Saccharomyces cerevisiae S288C: one gene and its partner. The gene in region 1 interacts genetically with each later gene. Each region holds a gene or a part of one and is shown on either strand. Other genes may lie near its edges.

Region 1 (4,461 bases):
GGGTCTGATGGGCGCTGCGCTCGCTGCCGTTATCTTTTTGTAATTTCTGCTAACGACAGATGCGCAGAATCAACCTTTCTGATCTCTCCGTGGTCTTACTTTTCAAAATGGCATTGTGAATTAAGTATTTCATCATAGTTGATAAAGCTTATGTCCGCAATGTTATTTGTCTGCGTGACACTGGCTGTCTATAAGAATGTACCAGTATGTAATATTATATCAAGAAAATATCAGGTGTTGATTAAAATAATCTAAAAACAATGTCTATTTCACTTGTTAAATATGACTTTTCAAAAATAACCATTTTATTTATTTCTTGCTTTTTAAAAGGTGAGAGTGGGTATTTGTTTTATCTGACGCCAAGGAAAATAAAAGTTAAAAAATGACATGATGATTTTATAGTTCAAAACAAGAAATGAACTTTCGTGTTTGTGATCAGATTCAAATGGAGTATAATACTGAAAGAAGGTCGAGAAAGACAAGCAAGCAAATTCACAACTTCATTGAGCGCATTTTATTGAAATTACCTGTAGCAATGAGTAGTTCAGTTTGTCATATAATTATGTTTTTGTGAGAAATTTTAGCTTTTGGTACTGTGCCAGTTATCCGAATTTAAAAAAAAAAGTTATATATGGCTGTAATAATTTAGGTCAGAGAGAAGAAAACACGAAGTTTACTACGTGTATTAAAAATAGAACATTAAACATGCACCAAATGCTTTAATGAACACTTTCGGAAGAATAAGCCCATAAAAAAATCACGACGTACCGTTGCGACAGATAGGATCGTTCTTTCTAGGAGATTTTTTAGCTGCTACGGAATAAAAGAAATAATGCTGACTAATACGCAGGATATCCATGGGAGGCGGCTTTTTGTTCTGACGGATCCATAAATCCCGTAAAGAAATCTGGGCGAATGTATACAGAGAATTAACGTTACTCATTCCTAGCCTGAAAATCAAAAAGCTTGGCATAAGGGGCATGTACATAGTCTTCATGAAAGAAATGGAAAATTTTTTCAAGGGATGGCTTCACGGTTCCATTATTGCTTCCGGTTTCCGTTACCCTTTAAATCAGATATATAAACAGCCATAAGGAGAACCATTCATTTCTTTATCATCCGCTAAATTTTATTAACGGCATTTTTAAGTACTTCCCACTGGCTAATTACACAGATAAAACTCAAACAAATTTATAATGGCCCCAAAAAAAGTTTTACTCGCTCTTACCTCATATAACGATGTATTCTACAGTGACGGCGCCAAGACCGGTGTTTTTGTTGTAGAAGCCTTACATCCCTTCAACACATTCCGAAAAGAAGGTTTTGAAGTCGATTTTGTATCTGAAACCGGAAAATTTGGTTGGGATGAGCATTCCTTAGCCAAAGATTTTCTAAATGGTCAAGACGAAACGGATTTTAAAAATAAAGACTCAGATTTCAACAAGACATTGGCTAAAATTAAGACACCAAAAGAGGTGAATGCCGATGATTACCAAATTTTTTTTGCATCTGCAGGCCACGGTACCTTATTTGACTATCCTAAGGCTAAAGACTTGCAGGACATTGCTTCCGAAATTTATGCTAACGGTGGTGTTGTCGCAGCTGTTTGTCACGGTCCTGCTATTTTTGATGGGTTAACAGACAAAAAAACAGGAAGACCATTGATCGAAGGTAAATCTATCACCGGTTTTACTGATGTTGGTGAAACCATTTTGGGTGTTGATAGTATTTTGAAAGCCAAGAATTTGGCAACCGTTGAAGATGTTGCTAAAAAATATGGCGCTAAGTATTTAGCTCCGGTTGGGCCCTGGGATGATTACTCTATTACTGACGGAAGACTGGTAACAGGTGTGAATCCTGCTTCTGCGCACTCCACTGCCGTAAGATCCATCGACGCTTTAAAAAACTGAGCCAAAGGTTGATAATTAGAATTTCCTTTGTACTACTATATAGATGTAAGGAACTTTAGGAGGCGTTATTGAGTACGAGGGATGTACCTCATTGTTAATACGTTGAAATATTTGGATATTGGGGAAACACATGTCTGAGATGGGTCTTCCAATAACCAAAGTTTATAATCTTTATCTTTTATCTGCTTTAGCTAGAGGTTAATAGTGAAGACTACATTTGGTCTCCAACAAGGTGCTACAATTTATTTTTCAGCCACTCCGTTGCACAGCATTTATCTAGCCAACGTTAATATCAATGAGAATGGAGAAGAAAGCATTAGCGTCGTTACGCTGCAAATCATCTATGCAATATGTAAAACTATACATAAAACTTTCTAAATTTTTTTTTTTTCATTTTGGTATTTCTGTCAGCTGCCGATGCTTCCTAAAGGGTTTATTCATGTGGGACATTGTAGGTGTGTTTCAGTTATCTAATGGTTATTTGCATCTTAGTGAGCTGTTCCTTGCGGTTTCTTGCTAAATGATCACGAAAAATGTTTTTTTCTCAGGTTAATTATGGCAGAATGTCGACACGAATTGGTCATATTGAAAATATTTAGTAATGCCCATCAATTAAATTGAACGTTATATCATCCGGATAAACAATATCTTCCAGATTAAAAAGGAAAAATAATTTAGGGCATACGTATTAGGTTATTCAACCAGAAATTAGCATTTGGCTGTCTTTAATGCCATCGCTTGGGAACTAGGCAGTTAAATATAAGCACATGTAAAAAAAGTGAAGATCGCGTAACTCATTATTTATAAACACAAGGAGAATGAGCAGCATCAAAAAAACTTCAACCAATAGAAAAAAACATATAGACTAGCTTTAAAACAAAATTAGTGAAGAAATGGATACAGGGAGTGCGAGCATAAAGGACTATGAGACCGTGTTAACGGATATTGAGGATTCTATTGCTGTGAGCAGCGAAGAAGTGCTAAATAACCAAGAACTAAGGCTCAAAAATACATTGCACGAAATTACTTCCAGCATTCTGGCAATAAATGAAGAGAACAAGTTTGTGAATCCTCTTAGGAACGATGAGAGCTTAGACGTAGAGGGAAAGGAGGTCTTTGTAAATCCAAAAATTCTGAGTGCAAAAATCAAGGAGTTCAATAAACTAATGGAGTTACTTAAGTTGACTTACTTGGAACAGGAGACATTGGACTATTTCTTCAGGTTTACTTTGTCCTCGACGAAACCTTTGCAGTTAGATTCCGAAAAAGACCCCCAATTTGTAAAACTTAATGAAAGAGTTAATGATTTAAAGGAAGAAATTTCGAATGTTCAAGAAAGCAAAATAGAACAAATCAAAGCTGAAATCCAAGAGACCGGTCACAACTTTGCAGAAAGGCAAGATTTAATAAATGAGTTGTATCTGGAAGCCACTGGTGATATTGAAAATTGTTGGGATTCGCTCAATGAACTAAAAAATTTAACAAACAAAGAAGATAAGAATATGATGGGAGAAAAAGATACGATATTAAATTCAAGTGATTCAGATGATTTTGTGGAAGAGACATACACGAATTGGCAAAAACTACTATTTTTGCAGAAGCAAAATCAAAGGTTAACGAAAGAGCTCAAGGAAATGCATGAAGTTAAAAATCAAATAATACGAAAAGGAGAGCAATCAAAAAAAGAGGATTCTGGACATTTAATGGCCAATGAATCAGAATTATGTCAGTCAATTAATTTGCTAACAAAATTTTGGGAAAAGCACTTTTTACTCAAAGGGTCAAAGACGACTATATTAAATTTTGAAATCTTTACCCAGCTTGGAAAAGTACAATTTGAAATAAAGGATATGCAATATATAATTGCCATATCTTTAAGCGATTTAAAAAGGCCAATGATAAAAGACATTACTATTTTACAAAAAGCGGGTGGCAATATAGTCACAGACATTGAAGCGAGCAGTAAATTTAACAATAAGTACAGAAATAATACTAAGGTGCAAATCTTTGAGGTAATGGATGACATTATAAGCGAGCTAACAAACGAATAAATTAATTATCTAGATAAAGATGTATGTAATATTACTAGCCAAAAAAAAAGTGAAATCTATCTACGTACTTGTTTTCTTAGTAGATGAATGACGAGACGCGCTTAGGAAAGCACCCATTGCACCCAAATAGCCTTCATGTTTGAGAAAAAACGCTTGCTTTGATCCTTGTGACCAAAAATTAATAGCGTAGCTCAAAGTGTTCATGGTAGTCAAATGTCCTCTGGTATAAGATCCGCCAAAGTATATATTCTGTATATTATTGATTTTAGCTTGCAAATAAGCTATTTGCCCAATATTGTTGGAGATGGCGAATAGAAGACTTTTACAAATATCAGGATTCTTAAACATTTGTCCATTGTTTTTCTCAATAGACTCATGTGAGGAATATAATTTATTTTCGTTGTTTTCCAAAGATTTGTTAGATGTCATTCTATTTTGGAAAACTTTACCAAATGAACTTGCAATAGCTGACGACTTTAGACCAATTTTATTATAGTCTG
Region 2 (4,323 bases), on another chromosome or scaffold:
CGGGTAGCGCAATCAATTGCGAGTAAACAGATGACTTGTAGGTCTTACCGAATCTAGTGAAGTCAGGAGCGTTTAGGATTAAAGTAGAGAAGTTATCCAGAGCACTCATAATAGCTCTAATGACAGACCATGCTAAAACCGTCTTGCTGATTGCGCCACCATTGTCATTTAGGGAACCCAATGCCAAATGACCTTTGGCCTTACAAAGAGTCCAAATCAAAAAACCGAAGGCCGCAAATGGAGTGATGGCGGATTTGAGTGCAAATATATGACGCAATTTGTCAGGTGGAAACCATAGGAACGGTAAACATGCGACCCAGAAGACCATGAAGCACATGAACTCGAAGTTCGTCAAATTGGGGTTCTTTATGGTGTCTTTGATTCTAGTATTCAAATTAGTACCGAAGATAGCCTTTAGCATCAACTGAACACATTGACTACCGATATAAGCCAAAGTAGAATTCCAGACACATGCCATGACGACACGGTTGATGACAATCCAGATGGAGAAGTAGATACCAAATGATACTCTTGAGGAAATGGGGAAAGAGATATGGTAATTGTTCCCCACTTTGGAACCCAGTATCAAGAAAAATGCGACAAACGTGTATCCAACCCAAATACAGATCCAAGTCTGCCACCAGTTAAGCCCTAACTGTAGCCCAGTGGCTGAGATTTGCCATGTATTGACGTTAAAGGACCCAGAAATCCAAAAGAAAATGTACTGCTTCCATGTCCACGTTCTTCTTTTTGCCTCCACGGGCCGCAGATCTGTGTTGTACAAGTACGTCGAACGGAGGGACTCCTGTAAATCTTTAAATGTCCTAATTGGATTTTCGGGCTTATGATCGGCCAAATCGGTAGAGTCATTCTTAACCTCAAAAAACTCGACAACTCTTTGCAGCCAAGACACCTTTTCGTCATCCTGAGCAATGGTTATATTGTTTTCTGAATCGGTATCTTTTTTTTCAATGACATTAGCATCAATCTTAGAAGTAATTTTAGTCGCATCACCCATCTCGGACTCTTTCGTGATTTCTTCGTAATCCTCCGTCGGTATAGTGTCGTCCTTCATTGTTTTTGAAGAATTATCGAATCCAGAATCAGATACCGGCATTTTCTCTTATATAGAATTAATGAATGAGAGGACTAGTTACCGCCTTTTATTTCCGCAATGTGCTGCAAAGTAAAGCAAAGCTGTCCAATACTATGTTTTAAATTTTACAAGAAGGTCGAAGCAATACTACTGTTATATAAAAGATAGGATAGCATGTCATCGAGTAATTGAGCAAGAGAGGAAATGAAAAACTTTTCCGTTGGAGAATTGATCAAAAATTTTCAAAAATACGACATGTCCCTGTGTTGTCCAGGCTGACACAATAGTTTCAGTAGCGAGAACCGCCAAGTTTTATTGCAGCATCCTTTAATGGCAAAGATGGCGCGATAAGGACGAAACCGGCAAATCCCGAGCATCAACCACAGTGAACGCCGCGGAGAAACTCAAAGGCGAAAGGGGAGAAAAAAAGAAATTAATGGCACATACCGCTTTGTGGCATGGCTCAATCACATTTCTTTTTCTTCTTTCTGATCGCCCGCAGGAGAGGCAGCGCCGTTTGTGTCCCATCGCAAGGACAAACTAGCTAGGACATGAGACTTCTAAGCCGTTCAGTCGAAAGAGTTAGGGCATTAGTCTCTAAAGATAAGTGTGGGGGCTTGGTTGAGTCTTGATTTAAAAGCTTGGAGTAGGCATTTTACGATCTATTTTCTCTCGAAATAAAGTAAAGGTATTGCTGCAAAGGAATTGCCGTAATATTTAAAACTTCTTGCTTAAGTGATGTAAAGGCAGTGAGGCGATAGCAATGTTTCGTAGAGCCTGTGACTAGTGAAGCATAGGCAATAAATTGTTTTTTTTTTCTGATTTTGTATTGCCGTCTCTGCGTCGCAGAGATTTGGTGTTCGTACGGAGCGATAATTGTTTTTATCTTTTCCAACTTAAAGGATCGAGGAAACTCAAAGGGTGGCAAAAACAAGCGGTATAATACAAGGTGAACTGAGTTGGAAAGAGAGTAGCCAAGACTATTGAACTATAAAGTTAAACAAAATATGGCCACTATTGCATCAGAATACTCTTCGGAGGCGTCAAATACACCCATTGAACATCAATTCAATCCTTACGGTGATAATGGTGGTACAATCCTGGGCATTGCAGGTGAAGATTTCGCAGTGTTAGCAGGCGATACAAGAAATATCACCGATTACTCAATTAATTCTCGTTATGAACCCAAGGTTTTTGATTGTGGTGATAACATAGTCATGTCGGCGAATGGATTTGCAGCAGACGGCGACGCTTTAGTAAAAAGATTCAAAAATAGTGTAAAATGGTACCATTTCGACCACAACGACAAAAAACTATCTATAAACTCTGCAGCAAGGAACATTCAACATCTTCTGTACGGGAAGAGGTTTTTCCCTTACTACGTTCATACGATCATTGCGGGTCTTGACGAAGATGGTAAGGGCGCTGTCTATTCGTTCGACCCAGTTGGCTCCTACGAAAGAGAACAGTGTAGAGCAGGTGGTGCTGCGGCATCATTGATCATGCCATTTTTGGACAATCAGGTTAATTTCAAAAATCAATATGAGCCAGGTACAAACGGTAAAGTCAAAAAGCCTTTGAAATACTTGTCCGTGGAAGAAGTCATCAAACTGGTGAGAGACTCGTTCACTTCTGCTACAGAAAGACATATACAAGTGGGTGATGGGCTGGAAATCCTTATTGTCACCAAGGATGGTGTAAGGAAAGAATTTTATGAGCTAAAAAGAGATTAATGCATACATATCATAGTATAAAAAGAAATAGACCAATATCAACATCAATTTTATGTATTTTTTTTTTCTTTTGGTATAGCATTGATATATTGAAATTTGTATATATTGCTGCGAACACTATTTAAAACAGGTTTTTTTTTTATTTTGGCAGTTTGAAACCCTTTCCTCTGATGACTTTAGTGTAGTAAATGTAAAAGAAATCAGAGTACAACAGAGTTTGCAAAAGTCCCGCGAAGAAGGCAATCTTGTCCAATTTTTTATCTTCCGTGCTGTACCTCCAAATCCAGTTAGGAATATACAATGCTCTGTATAATCCCATGGCAAAAATATAATGAACAGTTAGACTTCTAGTCTTCCCACCCTTAGATAGCATGTACAATTGAGGTAGAATAGCCACACTCTCCAACCATACAGAAAAACTCCATGCTAATTCAAGAAAAGTGAACTTGTGATGGAAAAAAACACTCATTAGAGCACTCCCAATTAGTAAATGCTGGATCTTAAAGGTATCATGCATAAGCATTTCATTATACGCAATGGTGTTGGTTCTTTTAGACCCTTGTAATAGCACTACAATGTAAGCGGTAGATACAATGAAAAATATTTTCATTAGAGCATTGTATAGGGATACCCAGTGAAAAGTCAAGAGATCCAAGTATCGTGTTATGAAAACCAAAGCGTACAACGTTTGGGTCTTGAAAGAAATACCTTCAATGTACCTTGTGGTCTTGATATTATGAATCAGGATCAGTATACTGGTTAGATGTGATAAATCACCTGTCTTGATGGTCGGGAAAAAGCCCTTTCTCTGTTAGTAAGATTGGGTTCGATCTACGGCGGGAAAAGCCTCATGAAACTCCAAATAGTAACATACCTAAGATTCTAAACGGATTCATTGCTTACTGATTATGCCTCAACTTGCGCGTATATCTCACTCTTGAACAAGTGCCCTCAGCAAATTCATCTGCCTCGAAATTTGAACTTATTTTTAACGTGTTCAATATTTAGCTAAAACGTCGTTTTCAGTCCGGGTACCGCAGATAAGCCATCCCGGATCTTTAAAGGAAAACGAGGAATTCAGTGGTGCAGACTACACTTTAATCTCAATTGACCAAAGTGAGTCCTCAAGTAAGACGAATATTATTTTTCTTTCACGACTCAATTGAATTCCTAATAACACTTTTGTTTGCTGTATTAGCTTTTAGCTTTGAGAGCGATGAAGCAAGAGAGAAAAATAAGGGTAGAAAAAAAAATTAGAAATTGAGGAGGGGAAGGTATTCTAACCTGGTGAATTCCCAGATACATAAGTATAAGAATTTCTCGGCAGAGATTATATACAATAAAGAATAAGGTTCAGTTGGACGATTGCGATAGTAGCGTGAATAACAATTTACTTTAATCAATCGTTAGGATACTTCTAATGGGCTTTTTTAACAATAATCCGGTAATTGAATTCTTCCACAGAATAACGAGAAAACCCAGTACCATTGCGAT

The links. A genetic interaction does not mean that the proteins touch.
Region 2: mutations in KRE28 (region 1) and PRE7 together harm fitness less than expected from each alone (positive genetic interaction), as found in Saccharomyces cerevisiae (one large-scale study listed by BioGRID).

What each region holds. Positions count from the first base shown.
Region 1 is NC_001136.10:1,498,896-1,503,356, reverse strand, and holds KRE28 (Kre28p), read left to right. Parts: upstream 1-2,803; coding exon 2,804-3,961; downstream 3,962-4,461. Other genes in the region: FIT1 (Fit1p), read left to right, coding at 1-43; HSP31 (glutathione-independent methylglyoxalase), read left to right, coding at 1,197-1,910; CAB1 (pantothenate kinase), read right to left, coding at 4,022-4,461.
Region 2 is NC_001134.8:139,144-143,466, forward strand, and holds PRE7 (proteasome core particle subunit beta 6), read left to right. Parts: upstream 1-2,103; coding exon 2,104-2,829; downstream 2,830-4,323. Other genes in the region: FUI1 (uridine permease), read right to left, coding at 1-1,117; ERD2 (Erd2p), read right to left, coding at 2,969-3,606, 3,704-3,725; MIN6 (Min6p), read left to right, coding at 4,250-4,323. UniProt on the Saccharomyces cerevisiae protein: Non-catalytic component of the proteasome which degrades poly-ubiquitinated proteins in the cytoplasm and in the nucleus. It is essential for the regulated turnover of proteins and for the removal of misfolded proteins.